2 linked regions of the Notamacropus eugenii genome follow. The protein of the gene in region 1 interacts with the protein of each later gene in a pairwise test. Links are inferred from orthologs where the notes say so. Each region holds a gene or a part of one and is shown in the gene's direction. Other genes may lie near its edges. The genes, in order: NPAS2 and BMAL2.

What was found.
Region 2: the proteins of NPAS2 (region 1) and BMAL2 interact in binary tests that used the Homo sapiens proteins (3 or more experiments, as listed by UniProt). The link is inferred for Notamacropus eugenii from reciprocal best matches to the Homo sapiens genes NPAS2 and BMAL2.

The regions. Positions count from the first base shown.
Region 1 is NC_092876.1:408,883,600-408,891,545, forward strand, and holds the start of NPAS2 (neuronal PAS domain-containing protein 2), read left to right. Parts: upstream 1-4,660; 5' UTR 4,661-4,734; intron 4,735-5,499; exon of another isoform or gene 5,500-5,871; 5' UTR 5,872-5,953; intron 5,954-6,176; exon of another isoform or gene 6,177-6,473; intron 6,474-6,570; 5' UTR 6,571-6,855; coding exon 6,856-7,358; intron 7,359-7,417; exon of another isoform or gene 7,418-7,946. UniProt on the Homo sapiens protein: Transcriptional activator which forms a core component of the circadian clock.
Region 2 is NC_092874.1:178,212,160-178,220,472, reverse strand, and holds the start of BMAL2 (basic helix-loop-helix ARNT-like protein 2), read left to right. Parts: upstream 1-5,015; 5' UTR 5,016-5,291; intron 5,292-8,313. UniProt on the Homo sapiens protein: Transcriptional activator which forms a core component of the circadian clock.

The DNA.
Region 1 (7,946 bases):
ATGATGAACGACCACTTTTCAGGAATGAAACAGGATTTATCCTTTTGAGAGATTGAACTATATGGCCAGTAAGGTGCCTTCCTAAACAAGGAGAGCTTGAACACTTCCTGGGATACTTTTGAACTGAATATTTTTCCACACTGACTATTCTGGATAGGAAGAGTACGGCTACTTCCTTTAATACTCCCCACACCCCAAACATAAATATTGCACTGGAACATCATAAAAGTTCATTAGGACTTACCAAATAATATAATATTTCCTGTTGGGAAGGAAGTAGTCTATATAGCTCTTCTCATTCGGGAAGGAAAGTGTGATACAAAGAGTTATTGATTCAATGTCTGAGGAGCTGGGTTTAAATCCTGTCTCAGCCACATACTATGCATTCGAGGATGGGCAAATCACCACCTCACTGGCACACAGTTTCTTCAACTGTAAAATGAGGAGGTTAAACTTGACCATTACTACGGTCCTTTCCTGCTCATTCCATAATCCTAAGATCAAGGGTCATGAGCAACATTGTACCTTGAGCTTTCTTTTACTGGCAAGAATAGTACTCATCCTTTCCTAGCCTTTGTGATATTAGACTTGTTGACAATGCACACTCCTATATTTGATGTCACATATCCCAAAGAGGTCCTTTGGTAAAACTCCCCAAAAGTAAGCTATTTATTTTATTACCAACTTTATTTCCTTCTAGGAATCTTCCATGGCCACCACTACTCCTTGTATATCTATAATTCTCCCATTTTAGAGTTCTAACTTTCAGACATTTGAATAATAATTGTCCATGAATCAAATAAGAAATTGCAGACTTTAAATTGGAAGAACCATCAGATTCGTCCAAACAGGAAACCCTTCTACAATATTTCTGACAAGTGATCATCCAGCTTCCCCTTGGAAACTTACAATAAAGGAAATCCTAGTACCTGATGCTTTGAGGGGTGTGTGGTAAAGAAAATGTACAGTGACTTAACCAACTACTACTCATCTAGATATTAACTTAGATGGCTAAAAACTAAGGTCCCATAGGAAAAAAATTAATGCTATGATAACACATTCTGTGCATTGGCCTGGATAATGTTAGCCAAGTGTTCATTAAATAAAGATTTTAAAAATAACAATAAAATTCTTAGAAGAGAAATGAATAGGACATAAAAAATTAAAATTCATCATTAGGAGAAAAATTATGTAGGAACTGCCTAAACCAGTGTAAGATTATTCCCATATTTGACTAGTATCACATAAAAATATTCTCCCCCTTTCAATTCAATTTGACAAGTAACTATTAAGTTCTCACTGTGGACCAGGCATTGTGTTAGGTTGTAGAAATACAGAGGGGCAGCTAGATGGTACAGTGGGCATACCACCAGTGCAGGAGTCAGGAGAACCTGAATTCAAATCTCACCTCAGACACTTGACACTCACCAGCTGTGTGACCTTGGGCAAGTCACTTAACCCCAATTGCCTCATCCTGGCTCATCTCCAGTCGTCCTAATGAATATTTGGTCACTGGATCCAGATGGCTCTGGAGGAGAAGTGAGGCTGTGACCTGCACAGCCCTCCCTCACTCAAAACAAAGTCAAGTGCAAGCCATGTCATCATTTCTCTGATGTCATGATATTCTTCAGCAACGAAGGACGAACATACACACAGATGCAGCAGTATATCCAGTATAGTAGTAGTATTTATATAACAGAAATAGTACAGCAGATATAGAGATTTATACAGCAAAGATAGTAGTATTTATATAGTACCTACAATGTGCCAGGCACTGTACTAAGGACTTGACAAATAGTATCTCATTTGATCCTCACAACAAACCTGGGAGGCAGGTGCTACTAATACCTCCATATTACAGATGAGGAAACTGAGGCTACAGAGGAGAAGTAATTTGCTTGTCACAAAATTAGTGTCTGGTGCTAGATTTGAACTCAGATCTTTCTGATTCCAAGTCCATCGTATTATCTACTGTGCTGCCTCAAGGAATTCACATGCTACTAGAGAAAAACAAAAAAACTAGAGAAAAACTAGGTAAATAAGCACACAATGTATGCATAATAATGTTATTAGAGATAACAGCACTTACAACTTCATTGCTGAGAAATATGTGTGTGAGAGACAGACAGACACACGGACAGAGACACAAAGAGATTTCCTTGTAAAACACTGCTAAGCACTGAAATCAAAAATCTAAGACCAGCTAAGGTTTTGTCACAGATCAACTGCTATAGTATAACCTCTAATTTAACATAGTCTTTCTTTCAGGTCAGGTTTCAGTCTCTTAGTTATCCATACTTGGTTTAAAAGGAAATCTGACTTCACTCTTCTGCTTGCCAATCACATGATCTACTCTGCACAAAGGAAAAATCATGTCTTGACTTTCCCAGGCAGGCTGCAAAAGGCCTTTACCACAATTGTATCCTCATTGTGGCAAGGACGTTAAAGAATCATTTCACTCTATTTTGATGTGTTCAGAAGTTTCTGCAATATGGAAATTTTAAAATGCTACCCACCTTGATCTTTCAGAGGCAAGTTTTCAATTCTCAGATCTTTTTCTCAGAGGTTCTCAGAAGCTTCGGCTTATGACTCATTTAATTTTCTATTGCTTGGCCTGAGACCTCTGCTTTACCCTTACATTAATTGGGCTTTCACTCTTCAGTTGTGACATTTTGCTCTGCTTGTATTATGTTATACTACTTAATAATGCATGACAGGGTGGGGTGCGTGTGTGTGTGTGTGTGTGTGTGTGTGTGTGTGTGTTAAACTTCCTTAATATAATCTGAAGTTCAGTCTACAAGCAGCCTAATGGAAGTTAATATGAAAAAAGGGGGAAGCACTCATCATATTACTAATCACCCTAGAATCACCGAATTTTTGAACTTGGAAAAAAAAAACCTAGTCCAGGAATTCTTTACCGTTTTTTGTGGACCCCTTTGGTAGCCTGCTGAAGTATATGAACCTCCCCTCAGAATAATATTTTTCAATAATTGAAGGAAGCAAGAGATTAGTAAAAATAGATATAAATTTTCCCATCCAATTATGGAGCCCCCTGAAATCTCTCTAGCCTCCCATCTCCATTTTCCAAATGAAGAAACTGAGGTCCAGTGGCTTGCCCAACTCTCTTGTCCAGCTAGATAGTTGTAGTGTTGGTACTAAGACTCAGGTCTCCTGACACCCAGCCCAGAGCATTTTCCAATAAACCAGTAACCCTTTAAAAAAAGATAATATTTCCATAAAACATACGTTTCCCAGGATTCTCTCTTCCCTCACCATCACCACTATTTGTGCATAACCTTTGGCCTGTTATTCAATTCAACAAACATTTATTAAGCACATATTAGCGCAAGGCACTGTGCTAGACATAGGAAATTTTGTATTAGTCAAAAAGTAAAACAATACCTGCTTTCAAGGAACATTTGTTCTGTCATTCATAAAATATTCATTAATTTCATATAGTTCTCTGATATAGGTTCTAATTCTCATTCACATTTTTTTAAACCAGACCGGTGATTTTATTGGTATAGATAGGTCCCAGGGAGAAAACTTCCTCTACCAGTGTAGAACAACACCCAAACTGGAATTTACAGTCTTACATAGTTTACTAGAGTCACTGAGAGGCTAAGTGGTTTGCCCAGGCTTACTGGTTTTTAGAAGACAAACCTTGTGTTTCTGATACTTCCTCCGTCCCCCCATATACAAGAAGGGCCTTAATAAATATGTTTAATAATAATCAGGGTATAATCTGCTTCTATGGGTGAACAATATATAAAATGATGCCTGCAAAAACATTGAATTCCCCCACTAGTATCTATAAAATAATTTAAATGGTTAGCTATATTTTAATTTCTCCTGCACACCCCCTCCATACAAAGCTCTGAGACTGACAAAAATTCTCATTGATGAAAAGTCAAATGAAACTACTATTTTTAATAATTAATCATTAGGTTACATAAAAGATTTCTCTCCCCAACTAATTCTAAGTTTTATAAAATTTAGAAGACTGAAAAGAGCACAGCTGCTATAATTATGATTTACCTTTGTTATGTTATATCTGCTATATGTATTTTGTCATATTGTATTAAACTGACTCTTTACATATCCCTGTTAGGATAGGGATAAATCATCATCTTAAAATTCACTTCCTCAGTTGGTCATGGAGAAAAAAAATTCCCCTGAGGGTCATGTTCTAATCTAGCATGAATCTCCTGTTGTAGATCCACACTGTACTCTCTGCTATAGCCATGCACATTCCATAAGGTGTCAGTCCTATAGGATCTGCAAACAGGAGGCAAATCAGAAGGATTCAGAAGTAAATGAAAAAACAAAACAAAACAACCCAAAACATGTAGATGTCTTCACCATGATCATGGAGTATTATTTGTATGGCCTTGAAAACAAGAAATATAAAGTAAGACTTCAAGATTTATCACTTTATATTGGGTAGCAAATACTGAAAAATGATATGTTTTTTCATTGCATTACTCCTGTATCTGATGCATTATTGCCTCAGGGCGTTTCATTTTTCCAAGGGATCATTTAAGCATTGTCCAGCAATTTCCAAAGGGGGGGGCGGGATGGGGGAAAAGAGGTTTGGGATCCATTCCAAAGGAAGGGAGGAGCTTTTAAAATTCTGGATTAAATCCGGTTAAAAGTACACAACTTTATCCTTTGGACACTAGTCATGGCTACAATTTAAAGCAGGGTGAAATATAATTACCTAAAGAAGGAAAGGTAAGGGGGGAGGGGAAAAATTCCTTCTTTTGGGAATCTAAAAGACTTCAAAACAGTTACATTTCCTAAGCCTCATCGTTCTTCTTGAAAAGCACCTACAAGTTAGAAGGAATCCAGAGAATAGCAGCTTCTCTTAGAATGCTCGAGCCTCCTTACGTCTGGTTATTTTGCAGAAGAAGAATTAGGCAAAAATAATACAAGTGGGAAATAAAGAGAATGACCTACTTTACACGGGGGGTGGAGGGGTGTGTGTGTGTGAAAAGCTCTCGGTGAACGTTTTGATCTAATTGACGGTGTGGAGTTGCATGACCAAATAAGGCGGTGCTAGTTATGTCGGGGCTGCTGAGGCTCAAGCCTTGAACTTGAGGTGGGGGGGGGGGGGTAGAGAGGGAGAAAAGAGATTGGAGAAGAGAACGGGCAACCCCCAAGCCCCTCAAACCTAGTGGAACACCTAGGGGAAGCCCTTTCTACCAGTTAGCTGAATTCAAGGAAAGGGTTTGACAAAGGGACAGGTGGGGGCGCGTTCTTTCTCCAAGACAGCCTGTACATCTCTCCCTTACCGCTTAATAGAACTAAACTAGGATTTTTGGGATGGTGGATCCCCACATTAGAAGCTCAAGGGCTTGACTTGAGGGAAGGGGGGGAAGCGGTGCGGAGCTGATGAAAGGGGAGGAGGAATGGGAGGATTGGGGTTTGACTGTTCTTTAAAGCTGGAATTTTCTCACTCCCTGCCTGTGATTCAGGGTGGTGGTCTTTCTATGGGAAGAAGAATCCTCCCCTCCTCTGCTATTTTGTGCGGAAGGTGTTTGTCTCCAAGTAAGGGGTGATGGGAAGCAGTGGCATTTGGCGGCTCTAAAGCTGAGCCTGTCACAGTGGCATCTAAATGCAGTGGGGAGGAGTCCTGCCCGGGAAGGTCCTCAAAAATCCAGCCGTTTTTCAAGGTACCGCCTGAGTTGTTAGAGTCGCCCTTCTCTGCCCGACTTAAGTTTTAGAGACATGCGGAATTATCAAACAGCAGCTACTGGTTTATTTTAAGACTATTTATATACATTTGTCTCCTGACTGATATTTGCTGTAGGCTTTGTGAAACCCTCCCTGTTTTTGCTCTACTTATTTTTCCTCTCTCTCCCTCTCCAGCTTCTCCTTTTCTTGGATCCTCGCCTGTCTCCTCCCACAAAGCGAAAAAAAAAAGGTCACGTATGTTTGGAAAAATATGTAGGTCAGTGGAACATTTCCTGCACTTGTGCAAAAGGAGAGGAGGGTGGCGGGGGGTGGGGGGGAGGGGAAGTCAGGAGGAGGAATTGGAGGGGGGGAGTGTGTGCTCCTCTGGGCAATCTCCTCCTCCCCCCTCAAATCTACCTCCGATTTTAGAGGGGGTGGGGTGGGGAAGGGGCAATTAGCATGTTCCTGTTCATCCCTGACCCATTTTCCAGACCAGCTACATTCTCCTTGAGATAACCGATTGTTTCCAACGAGCAGCGGCAGTTAATGCCGCCACCTCCCCCAAACACACCTCAGCCCTAGTCCATACCAACAACTGCCCCCCATGCCCAATCTCCTCCTCTGACGCCCCTCTCCCCAACTAATTGGGAAAGCACATTTGTATTCTAATATTCTCTAAAGAGGATTCACTCCCCAGTGTGCAAGGGCACCAAAGCACAGCCCCATGCCCCCAAGGCAGGGTTGGGGGGAACAGAAGGGGCGGCCCGACACACATCCACACACGCACACACACGCAGGTGAGAGTGGGAGGGGGGTGGCCAAACGGGAGAGGGTGGAACCTGTGTGCCCCCCGGGTGCCAACTTTGATCGGAACTCTTGCTCCTTCTCTCCTAGGCCCATTCACCTCCAGACCACAGCCCCTACTCCCCACCCTCGCCAGCTTTCCCACCTCCCACCTCCCAGCTAGGCTGCCAGGCTGCAGCGGGACCCCAGGCGCCCTCAGGGAGCCCAGCCGGGGGCGCGGGCTGCAAGGGTCCGAGGCTGCAGGTGGAGAGAAGACTGCGTGTCAGTCCGTGGGTCCCGGAGCCCCCGTGTCGTGCGTGCGTGTGCGGTGTGTGCGTGTGAGTCCGCGAGGCGCAGGCGAAGCCGGAGCCCCGGGATGCGGTGGCTGCTCTCACCATGAGATACCGCGGCGGCGGCAGTAGGAGCAGCGGGAAGGAGGAGGAGAAGGAGGAGGAGGAAGAGGAGGAGGAGGAGGAAGAGGAGAAGGAGGCGGCGGCGGCGGCAGTGGCGGCGGCGGCAGTGGCGGCGGCTAACGAGGGAAACCTCCCTGGCTGGCTGTGTGTGCGGAAGAGTTTGCCTTCCGAGCAGCCCGGCCTCCCGCAGGACTGGAGCGGCGGCGGCAGTGCGAGACGCGGGGAGAGCGGTCCCAGCCACCGCCAGGGTCGGAGCCGCGACTGCGGCGGGGACGGTGGGAGCAGAAGCAGGAGCAGGAGCAGGAGCAGGAGCAGCCGCCGCCAGCAGCCCGATCCGAGCAGCCCCAGCTCTCGGGTCGCCTCGGCCGACAGCAGCAGCGGCAGCTGGAAGAGCGCGGTCCCCGCCAGGCTCCAGGGCTTCCCCCAGCAGCGGCAGCGGCCGCTGGAGCCCCCCGAGCCCCGCAGCCGCCGCCGCCAACAGCCCAGGTAGTGCGGCTCCGGGGCTGGTGTGGGGGCGGGGATGGGGGGAGACCAGGCAAGCTTTCTCGGGCTTCTGCTGGGTGGCACGCGACTGACTACATGCCTCTCTCTGCGTGTGTGTGTGCGTGTGTGTGTGTGTGTGTGCGTGTGTGTGTGCGTGTGTGTGGTGAGCGTGGGCGGGTGTGTTCATTCACCTGCTGCCTGAGGCGGTGGGAAATGCTGTCCCCCAGCCAAGTGCGGGGACCCCCCGCGCAGACTGGGCCGTGGGGAGGGGAGCTGGGGGAAGGCCCCCTATCTCTGTGAGGTACATGCATATTCACACGCCCATGGCCCTGGGTTACCCATTTCTGCAGGAAAGCCGGAGGAGGAGAAGGAGGTGGCGATTGCAAACTCTGGGCATTTCAGTGTTTGCCTGAGAGTCTGGAGGCAGTCCATGGGGCACCTCCGAGACTTTGGGATGTTTTAGACACTTTTGGGGCAGCGTCTGAGGGGGAACTTAGCCCAGGCAACATCATTTGGGAATTTGTAAGCCATCCCCACCCAAGCCCACGATCGCAGATCCTGCGGATTCCGGTACGTTTTGAACTCCGGATT
Region 2 (8,313 bases), on another chromosome or scaffold:
GTCACCCCACTCCCACTGCTAATGCCTTCCCTCTAGTATCATCCTCCCCTATTTATGTTGTCTATATCTTATATGTACATAGTTACTTATGTGTTTTCTTCCCCATTTGAATGGGAGCTTCTTGAGGGCAGGCTTTTGACTTTGTGGGGAAGGGTTTGTTCATTTTAAATTTCATGATCATAAATTTAGCTCCAGTCTAACCAGACTTGTGGAAAGAAAAGGGGAATCTAAAGGGAAATGCAGTTAAGTGAAGCACAAAGATTATAGGGTATAAGAACATCCAGGGGTGATCTCCCCAGTTACAAAGGAATAGTTTAGTGGGTAAGACAAAAAAACTAAACTGAAAAGCTTATGAGAGTTGTCCACAGTCAGAAATGGTGATCTGCCATCTGGTCTTGACATCGTGGAATGTGAAGCACTCCATGGCTTTCACCTAGCCAAAGACCACATGCTTACCATCCAGCCAGTGTTAGCTGTAGGAATGAAAAACAAGGAGCCATTTGTGTGGGGCCCAGCACTTGCCATGGACAGGGTACTTCAGGGTAAAGTTCTCTTCATGGAAGTTTTCTACTCTTTGGAACCTTTCCTGCAAAGAGCTTGTAAATAGCTTGGTCCAGGGGCTCCTTATTAGCAATGTCAAAGAATGAGATGGGATTGGCAGAAGGGTGGAGGGCAAGAGGGACACTGTGAAGTTAAGGACTCTTGGTGGCCCTGTCTGCAAAGTGTTTTGATTTACTTGGTATGCCTAAGGCTTAGTATAGTTCCTGGCATATAGTAAGTACTTAATAGATGTTTGTTGATTGATTGATTGATCTATGTGGATACTTCTTGTACCCACAGCTTCCCTTTGCCTCAGTAGTTGATATCCTTGAGTTATTGTGGCTGAAAAAGTTTATCACTTGGTGACCATCCTTACAATATCTATCCCTTCTGACCTTCTCTGACTAGGCCAGTGTTCATCTGCAAAACATCCAGTCTGTCATTGGCACCTTATTCAAAACATTTCCAGATTGATAGAACCTGCCAAAGCTTAAACTCTGGCATCCCATTTTGTCACCCATATCCCCTTCTTACTAGATTTTGGTGGAGGTCTTTGATTCTAAGAATGGAAGAGAGAACCCTCAGCTGTCATACCCTTGGCATGGCCTTATTTTTAAGTAACACTCAGGACTAATGAGTAGGTTCTCCAATCATAATGGGTAATTTAGAACCCCATGATTAAGGTTAGATTCACAGAAGCATAATTATCAAATGTCATCTGGTTTGTGTACAAGGCTTTGGAATTTTTTTCTGGGTTGTTTCATTTGCCACTACCTCAACTAAGAAAGCTGTAACCAAGGAAACCTAAGGACTATGAAATAGCATATTCTAAACTTGGATTGTATCTCTAGAAAATTCATTGTAGGATCTTAATGCTGTAAGTGATTTCTAAAGGTGACATTGCCCAATGCCCTGCTTTGTATAAAACATTCCAGGAGATAGGTGTCAGTCCTGTCACTAAAGATTTTCCAAGGGGAAGAAAAGGTAGTATTGATTGGCTTGTTCAATAACATACAGTGTGTCCCTAGAATCTGAATTCAGTAAAGCAATTTAAATGATTAAAACTTTAAACTGCAGTAAGACTTTTGGGACACCTTGTATTCCTATCAGTCACACCAGGAATAATAACCCACTTTTTGTAGCAGTTTAAGTTCGACACAGTTGTACACAGCATGATTATCTACATTTTAAAGAGATGGGCTTACAGAGGTTGTGACTTTCCTGTGATCACATAGCTAGCAAATATCCAAGTTGCCATTTTAACCAAGGATCAGCTGACTCTAGGAGCAGTGTTCATTTACCCCATACTGCTCTCCAGTATTTTACCTTTGAGAAAGCCAAGGGAAACCCTTATAGTACAGTCTAAAGAACACTGATTTGCAATCAGAAGACCTGGGTACGAATCTTGGCTCTTCTACTCACTACGTGGACAACCTTGGATCAGAGCCTCAGTATTTTCATCTCTAAAATGAGAGGGTTGGATTAGATGATCTCTCAGGTCCTTTCTGTCTCCATCTCTTATAATCATCTGATTTTCCTTATATTTGGACCAAACCTTTCTGCAGTTTTACTATGAAGAAACAAATACCTTAAATCTCTGTAGCACTTTTTTCCTCCTCCCAACAATTTTCACATATATTATATCACTTGATTTTCATAATCACACCTTGGACAAGTCACTTAAACTCTCTCTGCCTCAGTTTCTTTTTCTGTAATATAAGGAAGTTGGACTCAATAGCTTCTGTGTTCCTTTCCAATTCTAAAAATCTATGATCTATGATTTATGACATTGTGATACAGGGCAGACATTAACCATATATTACCCATTCAATTAAATTATAGTCCATAATGGCAGTTTTGGAGACAAGGCAGGCTTCACAAAAGAAAGGGCAGTCATGGGCTATTATTACAGTATGTTGCAACTCAAACAAGGGAAAACTCAAAACCTAAAATAAGAAACCATATTGCTGAGGAGAGAAGGGGCACAGGAGGAGAGGTAAAAACTGAAAGGGCAAGAACAAAAAAAGGCTATACTTTGAGAGGTCACCAGCACTTTAAGTTTTCACACTCTAGCAGGAGGAAGAGGATGTAGCATATCCAGGATCTATGACTCTCTCATCACTCTTCTCCTTGATAATGAAGGATGTCCAGGAACTTTATTTTTGAGGGGTGGGAGAACATAAGTTTTCACTCAAGGTGGTTTGATAAATTTCCCATCTTTAAAGTCATATACAAAGGGAAACTGGGGATTGGCCAGCAAGACACATGAAATGGATTTTTTCCAGAAAATAAAAGGGAATGAGCATGGGTCCAAAACAGAGGCAGCCTGTTATCAGTATTCAGAAAAGTTTCCCAAAAGATTTTTTTTATTATCACAAGTATCACAATTATCATGCTGTATATACATGGTATAGGCTTAAGCCCAAAAAGTTTAAGTCCAAGGTCACACAATTAATAAGTAATTATATATTTGTATAATTATATAGAATGTATGTTTATAGAACATGTAACCTTAATTTTAATATAAATTATAGATCATTATTATATAAAATAGGTAAGCTGGAAGTTAAACTCAACTTTTTACACTCCAACTTCACTACCCTGGTCCCTGCTGTCCCCTTAGTGTCACCCTTGAAATTCTTTGTTATCTTCAAACTAAAGCATTCTTTCATTCCTTTATCTCTTCTTTATGGAGTTCTGAAAATTCAACCCTTTACATTATACTTCTGTGGCTTTACTTTTGGATGTCAGATTCCATATGAGTTAAGACAGTAAGTGATGTCAGTCTCTGAACCTCTCTCTCTCTTTTCTGCAGTGGGGGAGTTGTTGTTTGTCCATTCTTCTTGAAGACAATCATAGTATCCAGAAGGTGATGCTATGACAAGTGAATAGGATTTAAGTGAGGCAGGGTTGTGCAAAGTCACCAGCCCCACTTTCTCCTCCAGAGCCATCTGAGTCCAGTAACAAGACTGGAGATGGCCCTGTAGGCAGTGGGAGACCTTGACCTTTTTAAGCTAAGGTGGAGTAGTATGGTTGTGGAATATTGAATATATTCTCTGAACCAACTGATGTGTTGTTTAATTTTGCCAAACAGCTTCCCTCCTCCCCTTTTTTTCTTATCGTTTGCCATAGGGAAGGACTGTCTGAGTAGGAGGAAAGAAGATCAAGGTGATGTAAAAATAAACATTTTTTAAACTTAAAAATAAGACCAAAGTATTGGAGGGGTTGAACTACTAAAAAAGAAATGTCATTTTCTTTTTTTAATTTTAAAATAATTTTTTCTTGATCTTTTGATTTTGGTTCACCTACCCTTCCCAATATATCCCTGCGCCCTTCTCAGAGAGCCATCCTTTACTTTAAAAAAATAATAATAAAAGCAGAAAAAAGTTCGGTAAAATTAACACACATTTTGAAAAAAGGCTGACATTCTATCCAGTATTTCACACCCATAACCTCCCACTTCTGTAAAGTAAGAGTGTGGGGGAAAGGGCCTCAGATTCTTAGCATTCAATTTTTAATATTTGTTTCTTATATTTCTTTCCATTTCTATTGTTGTGGTCATTGTGTCTATGGTTTCCTCAGTTCTGCTTACTTCATTTCATATCATAGGACCATAGACTTAGATTCATTAGTGGCCAAGTCCAAGGCCATTCCCTTTATAGGTAAGGAAACTGAGACCAAGAGAGGATAAATGTCTTGCCCCGGGTTACAGAGATAGTAAACGTCTGCAGCTGGATTTGAACCCAGGACTTCCTGACTATGGTTTGTATAAAGTCTTTCCGTGCTCCTCTGTTTTCATCATATTCATTACTTCTCACATAGCAGTAATATTTCATTACAATCTTGAGCGACGACGGGTTGAGCCATTCCCCAATGGATGGGCATTCACTTTGAAAAATTTCATATTTTAACACTCATACATTGATATAAATTTCAGCTGTATGGAGGGAGCAGGGCACAGTAGAAAGAACATTGGAACCCAGGGTTAAAAGACCTGGGTTTCAGGCTCATCTCTGCTGTTTAGTAACTGTGAGACTTTGGGTAAGTCACTCCACCCTTCTGGGCCTCAGTTTCCCGATCCGTAAACATGCGGGGGTTGGACTTAGATGATCGTTAGGGTCCCTTCTGTTTGTAAATCCTATGCCTCTCAGGGAGCTCTTTGGGCAGCATTAATACTGAGATCAGGGATGCCAGTGGGAATCCCCCTTTTTCCTCGTCCGCAAGTCATCTGTGATCTGTCTGTATCTTTTGTCATCCATCTATCTCCTGAGCTCCTGGACTCTGGGATCTCCTTTTCAAAGACTTTGAGCCTGCCGCAGGCACCTCTACCCCCAGCCCAGCCTCTGCTCCTCCTTCGCATTTCTCCCAGTTACCCCGAAAACCCGGTTAGCGGAATCGGCATCCACTGCTTGCCTTGAACGGGTGCCAGGGCAGCCCGACCGGGCATGCTCAGTAGCCCGGCAGGTTCGGCAGGCGAGTCTGAAGCTTTGCCCGCCCCAGCGGCTGGTGTGCAGGGAGAGGGGCCGCTCGCTGCAGAGGTGGCCGCTGAGCATCCCTGGCGCAGCCCCGCAGGTGTGCCCGCAGCCGCCGCGCTGCCGGATCAGCCTCGTCGGGCGTGTGCTGGACGGACTGGGGCCCCCCTCCATGCAGCCAGCCCGAGGGCTCGAGAACCAGCCGGCCGGCCCCTGCTATGGCTGGGGGAGAAGACACTGAGTCTGCAGGGAGCCAGCCCGCCGAGGCTGCGGCGCCAGGTGAGTCCCTAAGTGACACAGCCTGGCGGGCTTGGGGCGAGCTTGGGAAGGGGGGTGGGCGAGTCTGGGAGCTTAGCCCCCTCCATCGACCCCGAGCTGGGGGACCCGCTGCCGCTGCTGCCGCTGCCCTGGATGGGAATGGAAGGAGCCTGCCTGTTCACGCCGCTCCTTGGGATACCTGCTGCGGATGAGGGTGAGCGACTGACGAGAGAGCACTTAGCTCCTTCAGAAAGGGAAAGCAGGCTCTGATTTTGTTATGTGCACACCTATGGGCTCAGGTGGCAGGATGCTTGCCGGGGAGGCACGATGGAAGTTGTGTTGGCACCGCTTGGGCAGATTTAAGTGTATGTCTTGCCCTGAGGGGAGAGCCCTAGAAGCAAATCCGTTCCGTTATTCCAGAGCAAATCTGTAGTCACAGATCTCCTTCCTACTACCCTCTTTCTGTCTGTCATTTTGAATGGTCTACTTGCTTTCTTCTGGCCCCCTGCCATCATCATTCATAAAAAGAATTTTGTTGTTGTTGTTGTCATTCCAGAACACAGGAAGAACAGGCAGCATTCTCTTCTCTTTCTGGCTCCAGAAACTAACCAACTTTGACTGAAAAACAGGCAGGAGAGCTGTAGCTCACAGGCTCCTTAAAAGAAACGAAAATCTATTTCTTTCCCTCTACTCTTCCTGCCCCAAGAAACGCACCCATCCATCCACACCCACACCCACGCGCCCACACCCCCACACCCCCACACTCCTTGTAATAAAGGGGGAGGTCATAGATTTAGAGCAGCAGCCGCTACCTATTCAATCCCTTCTCCCGATTTATATTTGAGGAAACTGAAGCCCAGAGAGGTTGAATGATTGGAAGTTACAAGCAGAATTTGAACCCAGGACCTCTCATTCTAACAGTGCCTCTCATGGTACAATGCTGATACATCAGCTTACAGGATTTTTATTGTTGTTCAGAAAAAACCAACTTTCTGTTATACAAAGTTTTCTTTCATTTATTATAATTATTTATAGTAGTCTGTCTCTTGGGTCTGTTATTGAAAATAATGGAACCATCATTGTATCTACCACTTAAGATAAGTGACAGAGAAATAAAAAGAATTTTAAGAGAGTTTGCAGAAAAAATATTTGGGCAGAGGTGATTAGATTTCTATAAGCTTTACCTAATGTAGTAAAAATATATTCAATTATTTGCCAAAATAGACTGTGAGATGAGAAAACTTAGTATTCTCAAAGTGGTACTTTGGAGTCTTGTAGTGTTTCCAATTCCCACCATCATAATGTACCTCATCATGTATTTTGCAGAAGACTGGGATAAACAATTACTTAACTTATAGCTCCTTTTTATTTTTTAGTTAAGACTGGTCTCCTGATAAAATATTTGTCTAGACTTGTGAAAATATGTAACCAGTTTTGTCCAAATCCAGGAGGCATTTGAATTCTTTCAATGTATGCTAATCTAGGTGAGCAGAAATTCTAGATTAAATCGTATGGCCCTGACTGAACCTTAGTGACAAGGTACCTTTAGCTAAGTTATTTTCATTATAAATAAACATTGTTGTTTAGTTGAGAACTAAATGTGAAGTTAGGACATGCTTAAAATGATCCTTCTGACTTAGCTTTATATAAACATACATAAACAGTGAGTTTGGTGACTGCAATAATGACAGTTTGACCTTCTGAGAGACTGAATGAAGTGAGGCAGATTGCATCTCATTTCCTAACACCTCCCCCCTCCCCCCTTTCTTTTTCTTTGAATCCTAGAGCCTTGTGTTAAACTGATCTAGACCCTGGAGTATGCCTTGAGAAGGAGACAGGTTTTCAGTAGGCATTATATTTCTGAGAAGACCGAGCAAGTCCAACTCAACCCTTCATCATCCATATTTAGGAGGGGCCTGAGATATCAGGTCAGTTCTGAGGCCAGCCTATAGGCTTGAGTCCCCTTTTAGACAGGCTTGGGCTAAGTGGAAATCTAGTGGTGAACTTCTGTGCCATCCAAAGTAGCCCTGTAACTCCTCAGTCTTCCTGGAGTCTTTCACGTTAGGCATGACTCAGAATTGGTTTGTTCTCTGTGGGACTGTTGCAGATTCCAACAGATCCTCTGGGCTTGGCAGATTACACTTACAACTTTAAACAAGGATCAGAACTGAACTGGACATCTGAGGTTTTCTGGTTTTGCTTTTTCTTGGTTGATGAAGATATATGGCACAGTGGATAGAGTGCTGGGCCTCGAATCAGGAAGATTCATGTTTCTGAGTTTAAATTTGTCCTCAGACACTTACTGTGTGACTCTGGGCAAGTCATTTAACCCCGTTTACCTCAGTTTCCTCATCTGTAAAATGAGCTGGAGAAAACAGTGGCAAAACACTTGATTGTCTTTGCCAAGAAAACCCCAATGGGATCACAAAGACTTGAACAGGACTGAACAGCAACAAATATGGTAGAGAGAAGTTAAGACCTAAGGTTTAAGTAAGATATGATCCCTACACATAATTTAATACATTCTTATATTACGTGAGAAGCAAAAATCCAGCCTTGAATCTAAGAAAACTTGGCTGGATTCAAGTCCCATTCCCAGTACACTAGATGGGTGACCCTGGATGAATCACTTAGCCTCTCAGTGTTCTATACAACTCTTTAAAACTATACATTTCTTTTTCTTCTTGGTTTCTTTCCTTCCTTTTTTTTTTTTTAAATTTGGAGGCAATTAGGATTAAATGACTTGCCCAGGGCCACATAACTAGTAAGTGTCTGAAGGCAGATCTGATAGTCCTCCTGACTCGAGACCAGTGTAAAACTATACATTTTGAAGAAAATACTGACTTGCACTGGGAGAGAGGTCTTCCTCACTCAGGAGTTCTTATTAATGAAATCACAGTTCTAATCCCATCCTACATTGCATGACTAGTACACTCAAAATAAACTAGAACTTTGCCTATTATCTTAATGGTCTTCCTCAACCTAACACTTTCTCTCTACTTATCTATTTCATTATTTTGGGTGAAACAAAAATGTTTTAAGG